Tamandua tetradactyla: one gene and its partner. The protein of the gene in region 2 binds, or shares a complex with, the protein of the main gene of each other region. Links are inferred from orthologs where the notes say so. Each region holds a gene or a part of one and is shown on either strand. Other genes may lie near its edges.

What was found.
Region 1: the proteins of TNNI2 (region 2) and TNNC2 are in contact, whole or in part, in a crystal structure (PDB 1A2X), measured with the Oryctolagus cuniculus proteins. The link is inferred for Tamandua tetradactyla from reciprocal best matches to the Homo sapiens genes TNNI2 and TNNC2. Residues at the interface, in NP_001076252.1 of Oryctolagus cuniculus: Glu5, Asn8, Arg9, Ile11, Thr12, Arg14, Arg15, Gln16, His17, Leu18, Lys19, Ser20, Val21, Met22, Leu23, Ile25, Ala26, Glu29, Leu30, Glu33; in NP_001076114.1 of Oryctolagus cuniculus: Ser13, Glu15, Met16, Ala18, Glu19, Ala22, Lys91, Leu96, Glu98, Cys99, Arg101, Ile102, Phe103, Arg105, Ile119, Phe120, Ala122, Ser123, Glu125, His126, Val127, Glu131, Ser134, Leu135, Asp138, Phe152, Met155, Met156, Val159, Gln160.

The regions. Positions count from the first base shown.
Region 1 is NC_135327.1:6,387,373-6,395,458, forward strand, and holds TNNC2 (troponin C, skeletal muscle), read left to right. Parts: upstream 1-5,060; 5' UTR 5,061-5,172; coding exon 5,173-5,181; intron 5,182-6,628; coding exon 6,629-6,680; intron 6,681-6,793; coding exon 6,794-6,937; intron 6,938-7,028; coding exon 7,029-7,143; intron 7,144-7,253; coding exon 7,254-7,390; intron 7,391-7,667; coding exon 7,668-7,699; 3' UTR 7,700-7,843; downstream 7,844-8,086. Other genes in the region: SNX21 (sorting nexin-21), read right to left, coding at 1-89, 537-801. UniProt on the Homo sapiens protein: Troponin is the central regulatory protein of striated muscle contraction. Tn consists of three components: Tn-I which is the inhibitor of actomyosin ATPase, Tn-T which contains the binding site for tropomyosin and Tn-C.
Region 2 is NC_135335.1:1,876,032-1,882,643, forward strand, and holds TNNI2 (troponin I, fast skeletal muscle), read left to right. Parts: upstream 1-3,858; 5' UTR 3,859-3,990; intron 3,991-4,070; 5' UTR 4,071-4,076; coding exon 4,077-4,199; intron 4,200-4,353; coding exon 4,354-4,443; intron 4,444-4,519; coding exon 4,520-4,696; intron 4,697-5,854; coding exon 5,855-5,950; 3' UTR 5,951-6,057; downstream 6,058-6,612. Other genes in the region: SYT8 (synaptotagmin-8), read left to right, coding at 1-66, 157-324, 400-567, 664-769, 863-996, 1,065-1,298. UniProt on the Homo sapiens protein: Troponin I is the inhibitory subunit of troponin, the thin filament regulatory complex which confers calcium-sensitivity to striated muscle actomyosin ATPase activity.

The DNA.
Region 1 (8,086 bases), on a different chromosome or scaffold from region 2:
TACCAGGGTGTTCCGGGACTTCTTCCAAAAATCCTGCAGCTGCCGCGCCAGGAGCGGACCCCGCGGCCCATCAGTCTGGGAACTTCCCTCTGCACGAGGACACATGTGCCCAGTCAGGTCAGCACCGGGCCAGGACCCACGTGCCCAAGTGCCAACTTATTTCACTTTATTCCCATTTTACAGAGGTGGAACTGAGGGCTAGCGGGGGGTCTGGTGCCAAACAGTGCCTGGCACATAATGGACATTAAATAATAGTCCAGTCAGCAAAGCATTCTAGCACGTTACTAATACTTTACATCCCAGGTCCTCTACTTTTAATGCCCCCAAAGACCCTCAGATGGGAGTGATTTTTTTTTCATTTGATGCAAGGGAAAACTTGGCTCAGAGAAGCGTGACGCTCTCAAGGTCACAGGACCAGAGGTGGCTGGGACACTTCAAGAAGTGGGGCTGCGGCCGGATCAGCTCCGAGCGCCGGGAGACGATGCTGCGCGGAGGCCTAGTGGGGCCCCGGTCCCGGCCCCGTCTCCCGCACTCGCCTGCGTCTTCACCCGACGCACGGCGCGCGGTGGGCAACGGGTCGGGGCCAGCGTCCTCCTCGTCGTCGTCGTCGTCCCCGAGGTCGTCGTCCTCGGCGCTGGTGAAGCTGAGGGTGCCGCTGAGGCGCGAGGACAGGCCCTCGGCGTCGTCGTCCTCCAGTTCCGAACTCTCCGGGAACTGCTCGGCCTCGGGGCCGCCCGCCGCCTCCCCGGGGCCGTCGCCGGCCAGGGCGTGCCGCAGCCGGTACAGGAGCCGGGAGGCCATGGCACCCTGGGGGGAGCACCCGGGGCTGGGTCCTCGGCCCCTGCGGGAGGTGGCCCCCAGCCCGGGCGCGGCGGAGGGGCGGGGCACTGGCCGGTGGAGGGAGGGGCGCCGCGGAGGCCCCGCCCCCGCCCGCTGGGGGTCCCGCGCGCCCCGGGCCTCCTGCCGCGCCGCCATCCCCCCGCCCGCGCAGCCTGGGCCGCGCTCCTCCGCGGAGGGTCACCGGGTCCTCCCCGCTTCTCTGCCCGCCCCGCGCGCCTCTACCTCCGGCGCCCCGCCGAGCGCCCAGGGCGCCCCGCTCCCCGGGAAGGCCCGCAACCCCGCTGTGGCTCGCCGAAACCGGCCGGGCGCCGCGGCTCCGCCGGCCCAGGCCGCTCCGAGCGCCGCTTCCTGCCGCCGCCCCGCCTCCGGCCCCGCCCGCTGCCCGGAGCCGCCCGGGAATTCCGGGCCCCGCGCCCCGGGAGGGACTTGGGAATCCGGGGCCGGCCTGGGCGAGCCTCACGCCTCGGCCGGGTTGTCCCCCAACTGGGCGGGAGCGCACCCTCCTCGAACCCTCGCACCCCTCCCAGCAGCCCTGTCCGCCCCATCTTTCCACTTCGTTGTCCCCGGAGCTCTCTAACTTTCCGAAGTCATTATGCAGCAGAGGACGCCCATTTCTCCAGTGAGGAATCCGGGCCTGGAGTGGGTGCGGGATCTGGGCTGGCGTCTGATCTGACTGTAATTTTGCAACTGGTAGCATCAGCTCAGGCGGGGATCCCAGGGCCCAGCACCAGGCAGGGGCTGACGAAATGCTCAGTTACATCATGATTTTGTTTCTACAGTGCTCACAGGCTTTCACAAGCTCATTTGAGTCTCGCATGTAGGGAGTAGGTCAAAGGGGAAACTAAGAACCAGGAAGGCCAGTCATTTGCCCAAAATTCCACAGCCTGCTAGAGATTTCTAGGTGTGGGGACTTGGAACCAGAGCCTCCTGAGCTCCGCATCCTGCTCTTCTCCCGCGCAGCAGGGCTGCTGTCATCTCAGCAGCTCCTCTGGGGCGCCGGTTTCATTTTCTCTGTGGAGGGGAAGGGTCGGTTGATAAGAATTAAGAATCATTTGAGGCTTCCTGTTAGAAGGTCTAGATGTCTGTCTCTAGCAGGGCAGGTATCTTAGTTATACGATTAAACAAAACCTCCCTGAAAGCAGTTGCAACCCTGTTGGGAGTGGGCCTGGAGAGGAGTGGCAGGGACGTGTCTGCACAGAGAGCACACTCTCTGCCCTCCCTCAAGTGGGCGGGGCAGGGTTCGCTTCTTAGGTGCCACGGCGTCCAGAGTTCAGTTGGCGGCACCTTACATGGTGTCACATTTCACCCTCACAATATCCTGGAGTCTATTACTGGACAATGATGATCCATTTTCAAGATGAAGAAACCAAGGCAACTTGACTTTCCCAAGGTCCACAGCTAGGAAATAGGGGAACAAATCCATGTAATTTCAAAGCTCCTCCTGCTCTTTATGCCAATAAATAAACATTGGCTGAATATTACCTTGCACTTTGATAAATGCCTCAAAAGACCGAGTACAAATAGTGTTCATAAAACCATGGCTGTCAGAGTGTGCTGGCTTGAAGCTGTGATGTACCCCAGAAAAGGCCATAATCTTTTAGTTCCTTCCTGCGGGTGTGAGCCCTTTGTGGTGGCACCTTCTGATTAGGTTATTTCAATTGAGATGTGACCCACCCAATTCAAGGAGGAGGGTACTTAATCCTCTATTGGAGTCCTTTATGAGAGGATAAAAGGCAGAAAAAGCCAGAGGGCTCAGAGTAGAACACCCAAAGAGAGCTCAGAGTGGAACGAGAACCGGAGAAGTTCAGGGAAGAGGCTGCTGGAACCAGAAGCTGAAAGCAAGGGGACCTGGGAGCAAAGGAGGCAGCAGATGCCAGCCATGTGTGTGCCCATGTGGCAGAGGGGTCCCAGATGCCAGTGGCCTGTCTTTGGAGTCCAGGTATCATTCTGTTACTGCCTTAATTTGGACATTTTCAGGGCCTTAGAACTGTAAATTTATCAACTAATAAATCCCCGTTGTAAAAGCCAACCCACTTCTGATATATTGCATCCCCGCAGCTTTAGCAAACTGGAGCCCAGAGCCAAAAGGGTCTCTCAAAAATCTGGCCTATTGCTTCCATTTTATAGTTGGGAAGTCTGAGGCTTAGTGAGGGGAATGGACTTACCCATACAACAGGTCTTCTGATCCACAACTTTGAATTCCCCAAAACTCTTAGACTGCATATGCCATCTCCTTACAACCTCCCTGCGAGATAGTTACCTAACTCCTGCTTGAAAACATCCAGTGACAGGGAGCTCATTTCCTTATAAAGCTGCTGGTTCCCGTGATTGTTATTTAGTCCTTCCTTTTATTGAATCAGATCCCAGTCATTTCAGCTATGTATGTATTGAATGCCTGCTAAGTGGCAAGTGCTAGGCCCTGGAGGATGCAGTGGTGAACAGGAAACAGTGTCTGGTCAGGGTGATACAGAACACATTGTGATCATACAGCATGCTCAGTGCTGTGATTCAAGAAACTACTGGAGACCTCTCTGAAGTCCCCTGACCTGAGAATAGGGGAGGGGGGATCCTGGAGCAAGAGATGTTAAAGCTGAAAAAGATAGTAGGGAAGTAGGCAGGCAAAGAGAGGGAAGAAGGGGTTCCTGGTAGAAAAAAACAACATGCACAAGGGCATGGAGGTTCTAAAGGGTGATATTTGGGGGAGTATTTAAGTCTGATCACAGCAGAGCAGCATTCAAGGTGGAGAGAGGAGGAAGGAGTAAGATCAGAGGGGTAGATGGGACCCTGCTTGCCACACTGAGGAATTTGACTTTATTTCTCTGAATGAAAGAACACACAAATGAACAAACAATCTCTGCAGGTTCACAACCTCTGTTTCCAAGTATTTTGTGTCCAAACTGGAGGCCCCTAGGTGTTGCCCCTTGGCCCTTTGCCTGGCTGGGGGAGGTCCTTTTTTGCCTGACCTGGTTCTGCTGAGCTTTCCTTGGGAATGTCTATATATAGGGAAAGGAGGCAGCCCAGTTGTCACTGTCCATCTGCCTTCCCTGCTGTGCAGCACCCCCTCCCTGGCCCCAGGACCCATGCCCTACCAGCTTGGTGCGCTTTCTATTGATTTAGCCACTGTCCAGGAGCCTGGCCTACCCCAAAATGCCCAGCCTGGAACCTGAGGATTCTTGGGTGGTCTCTCTTCAGACTAGAGCTGCCCACTTCATTCACTCTCCAGATGGCCAGCTGAGCTCTTCCAGATACCTTCATGGAGCTCTAGGAGGAGGTCAGCTGCCCCTTCAACTATAGAGAAACTTTCCCTGGGACCACCCATTCCCCCACCACCCCACCCACCAAAAAAAACCCAAAATCAAAACCAAAGTGAATCCCAAACACCCTTTTCCTGGAGGAGACAGGCTGTCTGCTCTCTATGCTTATCTTATTTACAGCCCCCTTCATGACCCCTTCCAAATGCCCCCATCATCTCCCCCTCCCCCTCCTCCCCCTCTGCCCAGGACCATCTGTCCCAGGTTATCCCTGTCAGGATTAATAATAAGAATCACCAACATGCATACAGATGCTTATGGTTTCCAAAGCACTTCAGGAAAATGGGGATAATAATAGTTACTACCTCATGGGATGAAAACTAGCTGAGCTCATATGGTTTAAATGCTCAGTGTGTGGCAAGTCATAAAGGTTCAACAAACTGGTCATAGCTGTCTACCAAGGTTTAAAGACAGGACTTGCCTGCCATGTACCTGGCACAGGCTAGGTGGCATATCTGGGCTCCTGTTTATAGCGATCTCTCTGTAAGGGAGGTTATGACTATCCCCATCTCATAGATGAGAAGACTGAGGCTCAGAGAGGCATTGCCACCTGCACAGTGTCACACAGCTCACAGAGGCAGGACTTTGGATCTTGGGTTTTGGACAGCATAGCTGTGCTCTGCCTACTCTATCTCCCCTGCTGCCCCATTTTCCTCTGTTCTGATTGTCGGTACCCATCTTGGCACAAGTGTGCCTCCTGAGCCGGGGCTCCCTGAGGCAGGGAGCAGGGAAAGTCCTCCTCACAAGAATCTAGGACGCCAAGGCCTGCCACCTGCTCAGAGGCTTAAATTTCTCTGCAAGGGCCCTTGGCTAAATTAGGTAATGGGCTAGGATTCTGGGAGGGGTGGGGCTCGCTGACCCCAGAATCTGATTGGCCAGGCTAACCAGTCCTGGGGAGCAGGAAGGCGGGAGGGGAAGGGGCCCCTACAAATCCCGGGGGCTGGAGAGGGCTGGGGCATCCTCGGGTGGTGGTGTGCAGAGGAGGTGACACGCAGCTGAGGATCCCAAGCCAACGACAATCATGGTAAGGGTAAGGATGGACTTCGTTCTCTCCCTTGCTGGAGCACTTCTGGGCCTCTCCCAGGCCAGACCGGGTGTGCAGGATGCGGGTCAGTAAGTCGGAGTTTTACAGTTGCGGTGTGAAGTGTCCTGGAAGCCAGGGGTCTTGGGGGAAGGCTGGGAAGAAGGCCTTCTACTTCTCTTGGAAGGGGAAGGTTGGGATGTTCCATGGGTTGATGCTCAAGGCTTGCCGATTCCTTCCAGGCCTTGGGACTCCCAGCACTGTCAGTCACAGAGCTGTGAGGGGTCTTCACTTATCTCCCTCACGGTAGAGTTGGGGACCCTGAGACCCACAGCAGGTTGACTAAGGTCCCAGTGAGAGAGTGGCAGGAGTGGGCCTCAAGCCTGGCCAAACCTTCCAACTGTCCATGGTAGGAAAAGCTTCTCCAGAAGATTGGGTGCCTGCAGCCAGCTTAGGTGCAGGGCTCCAGAGCCTCGAGAGTGATGGGAAAAGGCAGAAGACGACAGACCAGACTTGGGAAGACCGCAGCCTCCCAGAAAGGGGCTCTGATTTGGGACTGTCATTTTCTCCTGAGACCCCCACCCCCACCCCACTTCACTTCAAGGAGTAACTAGACCCCAGAGACCAGCTGCTATTGCCCTTGCCTGATTAAAAATAGCCTGCCCTTCTGGCACCGGAAAGAAGGGTGGCAGGAGGGGGGGCAAGGGGGAGGCAGTGGCTGAAGAACTCCTTGGACATCTCAGCCCTTCCTCGCTGCCAAGCATCAGTCCAATGGCCCCTCCTTCCATGAAGCCTCCACAGATGGTCCGGCTGGGATATGACCGGAAAGCTCTACGGCAATCTTACTCTCGCCCTCTCAAGGCCACCAGCACCTTTTACCTAGCATGAGAGTGTTTACTGGGATGACTAAGTCCTAAGAACCTTACCATTTGGAGCCCTGCCTTCCACCTCTGCAAGTTCTCTGAGGGGAGGGATGATGAGTCCAGGTCTTCTGGGTCCGTGTATGGCCTGTGGCCTGGCACAGTACATGCCCACTAGCTTTGTGTTGCGTCATCATTTACTGAGCACCGCCTGAAGTAGGACCGCATTATCAGGTGCTAGGAAAAATCACGCTGGAATGATGCTTTCTGAAGCCCTTTCACACCCGTAATTTCATCTCAATCTAGAGAAAAAATGAGGGTACACTAAGTGACTTGCCCAAGGTCAGTGGGGGTTGTCGACTGGCCTTCAGACTGATAAACGAGGAGATCTTGGACATAACCTGTGTCTGCCCCTGAGTTCTTTTCAACTGGGGTGGATGCTGTGGGGCCAGGCAGCAGCTCGGCAAGTGTGGACCCGGTTTTCCTGAGGCCCCAGGAGTACTCACAGAAACTGGGGGTGGCGGGAAGAGGGTGAAGGCAAGAATCCGCCCGAGGGCTTGCTTCCCCTGCATCCTGACTCCCCGTGTCTTCTGCAGACGGACCAGCAGGCTGAGGCCCGGTCCTATCTCAGCGAGGAGATGATTGCTGGTGAGTGGGCGGGGGGCACCGGGTGTGGGGGTGCGTGGGCAGGTGGGAGGGTGGCTGTGGGGCTGGCAGGCTCGCCAGCTCGCCGCAGCCTTGGACGCCTACTCTCCGGGCAGAGTTCAAGGCCGCCTTCGACATGTTCGATGCCGATGGCGGCGGGGACATCAGCGTCAAGGAGCTGGGCACGGTGATGAGGATGCTGGGCCAGACGCCCACCAAGGAGGAGCTGGACGCCATCATCGAGGAGGTGGACGAGGACGGTGAGTGCAGGCCCCGGGTCGGCGGGGTGGGGCACGGCGAGGAGGGGCGGCGTCCGGGGCTCCGGCTCAGGCGGCCGCCCCGCGTCCTCAGGCAGCGGCACCATCGACTTTGAGGAGTTCCTGGTCATGATGGTGCGCCAGATGAAAGAGGACGCCAAGGGCAAGAGCGAGGAGGAGCTGGCGGAGTGCTTCCGCATCTTCGACAGGTGCGCAGGGCGCGGGGGGAGGGGCCTGGGGGCGAGTCCCCGGGAGGGAGGGGCCGCGGGAAGGGGCCGAGGAGCGCGGCCGGGGCGACGTGCTGCCGCTCCGCCCCAAGGAACGCCGACGGCTACATCGACGCCGAGGAGCTGGCCGAGATTTTCAGGGCGTCCGGGGAGCACGTGACGGACGAGGAGCTCGAATCCCTAATGAAGGACGGGGACAAGAACAACGACGGCCGCATCGACTTCGACGGTGAGGGCCGCGGGAGCCAAGTCGAGGGGGGCGCATGCGCGGGGGGCGCACACGCGCGCGCTGGCTTTGTGGGCGGGGCCGGTCGGAGCCCGACCGAGGCCCCTCCCCCTTGCGGGCGGGTCGGGCGTGCGGGAGCGTTTGTGCGGTTTGTTAGTTAGTACCGGGGTGGCCCCTCCGCGTGGCCCGAGGCCTGGCCGGCCCGCGCTCGGCCCCTGCCGCAGTTCTCCGCGTCGCGAGTGGGTAATCCCTGATGCCCTCTCCCGCTCCCTCCCTGCAGAGTTCCTGAAGATGATGGAGGGTGTGCAGTAAGGAGTCGGCCCGCGCCCCCGCCGACACCGCGTGTCCCTGGCCGTAGGCGGCTCGGCCGCAGCCGCGCCCAGTCCCCGGCCCCGGCAGGGAGGCGCTGCGCCTTCTGGGTCTGCGTCCGGCAGGAATAAACGCAAACATTGCAAAGCGCGTGGCCTGAGTGAGGGGGACCGGGGACGTCTCCCCGGCGAGGCGGCGGGAGCGGCGGGATGCGGGAGGGCGTGGGGCCGTGCTCGCCAGTTCACGGCCGGCTGCGGGCCTTTGGCGCTGGGCGTGGGCCGCTCGGAGGCCGCGGGGGGCTTCCCGCCGAGTCCCGCAAGCTGGCAGCCCGAGGAGGGTGCAGGCGCGGCAGGACCGCGGGGTGACTCTGGAGGCCTCCCTTTCTGGGAC
Region 2 (6,612 bases):
CTGGGGGGCCTCCAGCAGTGGGGGCGCCTGCAGCTGTCCCTGGAGTACCAGCCTGCGAGCCAGGAGGTGAGGGCCCACTCTGCCACACTGCTGGCGGTTGGGGAGGGCGGGCTGGGGCAGGGGGCACCTCCGCTGAGACCCCCCCGTTTCTCCCAGGTCAGGGTGGGCCTGAAGCAGGCGACTGGCCTGCAGGCCCCAGGCTCCGGCCACACGGCTGACCCCTACGCTCGCGTCAGCCTGTGCCCCCCGGCTGGCCCCAGCCACGAGACGCGTGTGCACCGAGGCACGCTCAGCCCGGTGTTCGAAGAGACCTGCAGCTTCCAGGTGGGGCGCGGCCGGCGGGGGCAGCGGCCAGGCCCGGGCAGGGAACCCCGCTGACCCCCCGCACCGGCCCCGCAGGTCCCTCCGACCGCGCTGCCCCGGACCGTGCTGCTGGTGCAGCTCCTGGCCTCCCGGCGCTTCTCCGCGCACACGCCGCTGGCCGAGCTGCGCCTGCCCCTGGCCTCGGTGGACCTGCGGCACGTCCTGGAGCGCTGGCACGAGCTGGGCCCACCGGGCACCGTCGAGGTGAGGCCACGGGGGCCCGGGGGAGGCAGAGCAGGCAGGGGGCCCGGGCCGCGCGGTGGAGCCCCCCGCGCTGAGACCCCCTCGTGCCCCTGGCAGCCGGAGCCGAGCGGCGAGCTGTGCTTCTCGCTGAGGTACGTGCCCAGCGCGGGCCGGCTGACCGTGCTGGTGCTGGAGGCCCGCGGCCTGGGCCCGGGGCTGGCAGGTGAGGCCCGTGCAGCCCGTGGGGTGGGCAGAGGCCCCAGCACCCTGCGCCAGCTTCTGACCCAGTGCCCCCCGCCCCTCCGTGCCCGCCCAGCGCCCTATGTGAAGGTCCAGCTGCTGCTGAACCAGAGGCCCTGGAAGAAGCGGAGAACGTCCGCCAGGAGGGCCACGGCCGCCCCCTACTTCAATGAGGCCTTTGCCTTCCGCGTGCCCGTCGCCCAGCTCCAGGTGGGCCCCGGGGAGGCGGGCGGGCGGGGGCCACGGCCCGGGCCGAGCTGATGGCCGCCTCCTCACAGGGCGTGGACTTGGTGCTGGCCGTGTGCGCCCGTGGCCCGCAGCTCCGGACCGAGCCCGTGGGGAAAGTGCTGCTGGGTGCCCGTGCCTCCGGCCAGCCCCTGCAACACTGGGCCGACATGCTGGCCCACGCCCGGCGCCCCAGCACCCAGTGGCACCGCCTGCGGCCCCCCAGCGAGGTAGACCGGGTCCTCGGCCTGAGGCCCCGCGGGCGCCTCCCCTTGCCCCGCTCCTGAGAGCACCCAAGCCTCAGTTTCCCCTGCCAGGCCTGGCGGACCTGGTCGAATAAACGCCATCTCCGGCTGCCTCCACTGCCTGTCCTTCCTGAGCCCTGGGGGACAATACAGAATTGAGGAGGGGGCTCCCTGCAAGAACAGCCCCCTCCCAAGGGCAGGGAGGTTCTCCCTTCCAGGCTGAGTCTGCCCTGGGGCTTCTATCTCAGGCCTGACCCTGGGGTGGGGGCCGCAAAGTCCCCAGACCCTTCTCTGCCCCTTCCGGGCATGTCTGCAGGGTCTGGAGAGGCAGGCACGGCCCTGGGAGGGGGTGGGATGCCGCGAAGACGCGGGGACAAGGGGGCGGCGGCGGCGGTGGGGGGTGGTGGCGGAGGGAGGGCCCCCCCACCCAGGCGCCTGGGCCCCGCGCAGGCAGCAGGGGGCAGTAGAGGCCTTCGGAAGCGGCGCGGGGGCCCGGGGGCCGAGGCCTCCTAATCCCGCACATCTGGAAGCTTTAGGGTTTGCAGAGCCTCCTGCGCCCGCCGCCTCGGATCCTGCCTACGCCCCAGAAGCCCCGAGCCGGCAGGGCGGGCCGCGCCGCAGCGCGCAGACGGTGCCAAGTCACGCAGGCGGGGGGCGGTGGCGCGGGCCCCGGGGTCAGGGAGAGGTTCCCCGTGCTCCCAGGCTCGGAGGACGTGTCCCGAGCCGCCCAGGTGTGGGGCCGAGGCTGGGCGTACCGAGCACGGCTGGGGAGGGGGCTCAGCAGGCATGTCTGGGGGCCTGGCCCCTGCTCCCAGGGCGGGCAGGTGATATCAGCCCCCCGCCGGGGCCCCAGGCCCGAGGCCGCGTTTGGGGGTCCAGCCTGGGAGCTGGGCTTGGAGAAGGGGTCGCCGGCCAGCTGTGCTGCGGGGCTCGGTGGGCTGTGGTGGAACATAACCCATTGAGGGCCCAGGCTTTGGGGGGCGGGCCCCCCAGGACAACACGCCACCGGGAGTCCCCTGCCATGGGCCGGACAGAGGCCATGGGGCAAAGTGTGATCGGGACCCCGAGTGAGGGTGGACAGGGCTGACTTGGGGCGAGGCTGTGCGGCCCCACGTGTGTCCAGCCTCGGCGAGGTGGCCAGCAAAGCCACGTGCGCCGTGTCCCCAGGCTCCTTGGAGAACAGCGAAGGCTCCTCGGACTCGTCACTGGGCCCTAAATAGCTCTGCTCGCCTCGGCTCCCCCCACCAAGACTTCTTGGATGGGGTGGCAGCACGTGGCCAGCCCGCGGCCCGGGCAGCTGGGGGGCCGCGCGCCGGCTCTCTCTGTCCCCATTGGCCTGGGGCAGCTACATGCCCTTTCCGAGCGGGGGCCTGGCTGGGGGGAGGCCATTTATACCCTCCCCGGCCCCCCAGCCCACTCGCCACCGCCAGACCTTGCTCCCAGCTCTGCAGCACAGGCTCTCGGTGAGGCCCTGCCCGGCCGGTCAGGCCAGGCCGCGGGCGGCACTCAGGCGGGCCTGCAGGAGGACGCCCTGGGTGGGGGCCTGGGGGCCGCGGCCAGCAGCCCCTCAGGGGGCTCCCACAGAGTGGGACGCAGGGGGAAGAGACACCTGGGGATGCTGGCGGGGCGGGGCAGGGGTCCGGGCAGCCCCTGGTGGTCTGATCTCACTTCTGGGGACACTGGTTTTGAGGGTCGAGGGACCCCAAGAGCTGGGCCCCCAAGCTGAATCGGGGAGCAAGTTTCTTGTACTTCGGCCGGTAGCCAAGGAAGCGGGGTTAAAAATATCTGTTGCTCGGCGGCCACCTGTGCTGGCCCCCCCCCCGGGTGCCCCCGCCACACCCCCCTCGGAGACAGCTGCAGCTCCTCCAGGCCCTGCCCTGGGCATCTCGGGAGCACTTTCTCCTCTTACCCCCCACCCCGGGGAATTCCAAGACATCCCCCTCTGCAGAGGGAGCGAGGAGGGGGAGCACGGGGTGGGAAGGGGGGCAGCGGCACCCCCTCACTGCTGGCCTGGCGGCTGTACCCTTGTGGCCTGACACCCCTGCCTTTCTCTCCACACAGGATCTGAGCTCACGATCTCAGGATGGGGGAGTAAGTGGGGTGCCCAGCGCGATGCCCGGGGGTGGGGTCTCTGCATCTCCCCAGCAGCTACCCCTGCCCACCCCACCCTCTCCCAGCCCACCCTCTCCTGCTCCCCACCGGCCTGGCCTGACCCGATCTTTCCCTTCTCTCCTCTCCTTCTCTTACCCCGACCTCGCCGGACAGTGAGGAGGTGAGTACCTGGTTGGAGAAGGGGAGTGAGAGGTGGGGGGGCGCTGGGACCCCAACTCCGTGGAGGTCAGAGGTCAGAGCTTCAAGTCTTTGATGCACAGAGACGAAGCCAGCCTCCCCCCACCGGCCCTGACGGGACAGAGGAAGTGGCAGCCTGGGCCTTCCTGGGCAGGGAAAGTGGGGGCTGTGGCCCGGCTTCTCAGAAGGAATCGCACCCCCCCAGGCCCTGCAAGGGTCACCCCTCCCCTGTGCCTCACCTGCCTTTCCCACCCCCACCCCCCAAGTTCTTAGGACCTGGCTGTCCGTCCTAGACGGGGTCAGCAGGCCAGGCCTGTGCCCTGGAGGTCCTGGCTGGTCCTCCAGCTCAGCCGGCCCCCCATGGAGCCCCTGACCCTGCTTCCCGCCCCCTGACCCCCCACAGAAACGCAACAGGGCCATCACGGCCAGGAGGCAGCACCTGAAGGTAAGAGTGGGCTTGGGGAGGGGGCCGGGGCCTGCGGGAGGGACTGCAGCCCTCACGGCGCCCCCCACCCCACCCCGCAGAGCGTCATGCTGCAGATCGCCGCCACGGAGCTGGAGAAGGAGGAGGGCCGCCGGGAGACCGAGAAGCAGAACTACCTGGCCGAGCACTGCCCCTCCCTGCACATCCCCGGCTCCATGTCCGAAGTGCAGGTACCCCGCCCCGCGCCCAGCCCCGCGCCGCCACCACCTTCCGGCCCACTGCCTCGGTTTCCCCACCTGCCAAGGGGCAGCGCCAAGCAGGTGGCCAGAGGCTGGGGCCGGTCAGGGCCAGGGTCAGGGCCCACCCCCTGGTCTCCCACCCCAGGAGCTCTGCAAACAGCTGCACGCCAAGATCGACGCCGCCGAGGAGGAGAAGTACGACATGGAGATGAGGGTCCAAAAGAGCACCAAGGAGGTGAGGCGCGGGCAGGGGCAGGGGCGGGGGCGGGGGGTCACGGGGCGCTGGACTCAGCTCCCCCCGCCCCCCGCAGCTGGAGGACATGAACCAGAAGCTGTTTGACCTGCGCGGCAAGTTCAAGAGGCCCCCACTGCGGCGCGTGCGCATGTCGGCCGACGCCATGCTCAAGGCCCTGCTGGGTTCAAAGCACAAGGTGTGCATGGACCTGCGGGCTAACCTGAAGCAGGTCAAGAAGGAGGACACCGAGAAGGTGCGTCCGCCGGCGCCGCCGGGGCCCAGGCCTCTCACCTGGGGCTGACCCCTCTCACCTGGGGCTGACCCCCTCCCACCTGGAGCTGACCCCCTCTCACCTGGGGCTGACCCCTCCCACCTGGGGCTGACCCCTCTCACCTGGGGCTGACCCCTCTCACCTGGGGCTGACCTCCTCTCACCTGGGGCTGACCCCTCCCACTTGGGGCTGACCCCCTCTCACCTGGGACTGATCCCCTCTCACCTGGGGCTGACCTCCTCTCACCTGGGGCTGACCCCCTCTCACCTGGGGCTGACCTCCTCTCACCTGGGGCTGACCCCTTCCCACCTGGGGCTGACCCCCTCTCACCTGGGGCTGACTCCTCTCACCTGGGGCTGATCCTTCCACCTGGGGCTGACCCCCTCTCACCTGGAGCTGACCCCCTCTCACCTGGGACTGACCCCCTCTCACCTGGGACTGACCCCCTCTCACCTGGGGCTGACCTCCTCTCACCTGGGGCTGACCCCTTCCCACCTGGGGCTGACCCCCTCTCACCTGGAGCTGACCCCCTCTCACCTGGGACTGACCCCCTCTCACCTGGGACTGACCCCCTCTCACCTGGGGCTGACCTCCTCTCACCTGGGGCTGACCCCTTCCCACCTGGGGCTGACCCCCTCTCACCTGGGGCTGACTCCTCTCACCTGGGGCTGATCCTTCCACCTGGGGCTGACCCCCTCTCACCTGGAGCTGACCCCCTCTCACCTGGGGCTGACCCCTCTCACCTGGGACTGACCCCTCTCACCTGGGGCTGACCCCTCTCACCTGGGGCTGACCCCCTCTCACCTGGGACTGACGTCCTCTCACCTGGGGCTGATCCCCCCCCACCTGGGACTGACCCCTCTCACCTGGGGCTGACCTCCTCTCACCTGGGGCTGACCCCTCTCACCTGGGGCTGATCCTTCCACCTGGGACTGACCCCTCTCACCTGGGACTGACCCCTCTCACCTGGGACTGACCTCCTCTCACCTGGGGCTGATCCCCCCCACCTGGGACTGATCCCCCCCACCTGGGGCTGACCCCGTCTCACCTGGACCTCACTCCTCCCTCTCACCCTGCCTGGCCCCTGCTGGCTGAGCCCCCCGTGGGGTGGGGTCCTGAGTCGCCCCCCGTCGCCCCCAGGAGCGGGACCTGCGTGACGTGGGCGACTGGAGGAAGAACATCGAGGAGAAGTCGGGCATGGAGGGCAGGAAGAAGATGTTCGAGACAGAGTCCTAGGCCCCCTGTCTCCACCCCGCTCCCCGGGCACACGGCGGGCAGGGGCCTGCGGCGCCCACGGAGTGGCAGGGGTATCACCCCAAAAGTCAATAAAGGATGCGAACCCATGGCTGGTCCCTCGCTGCCCACAGTCCCCGCCTGCCCTCAGGGCACCCTTGCCGGCCCTGACTCCTCAGCCTGGCGCCCTGGGTGTCAGGCCTGGGCAGGCGTCAGACGCTGATCTGAGCACGGGGCAGTGCCACGCCAGGGAGGCCCCCCCATGTGGGCTGGGACTGGACAAGCCGCCGGGTCCAGGGGCGCCCAGGAAGACCCTGCAGGTGGAGCCTGCCCCTGGCTGCACCGAGCTGCAGGGGGACCCCTTCAGGCCGTGTCCACCGTGTCCTCGGCAAGGTAGCCATGGGAGGGGCTGGTGGCGTGTACCCGGCGGGCTTCCCCAGGTGAGCCCTTTGTCCATTTGCCCTGTCCATTGCCACAGGGCACAGCCCCAGGAGGCCCCAGCTGGGCGGGAGATGGCCACACGCTCCCACGATACAGGGTCCCCAGCCCCCTGCCCCCAGGCTGCTCCCCCGGGATGCAGTCAGAGGCCGGCAGCCACGTCAATGCCCCCAGCTGGAGCCCCATGCGCCCCCCGCCCCTGACGTGCTTCTCTGGCTCACTCTGCC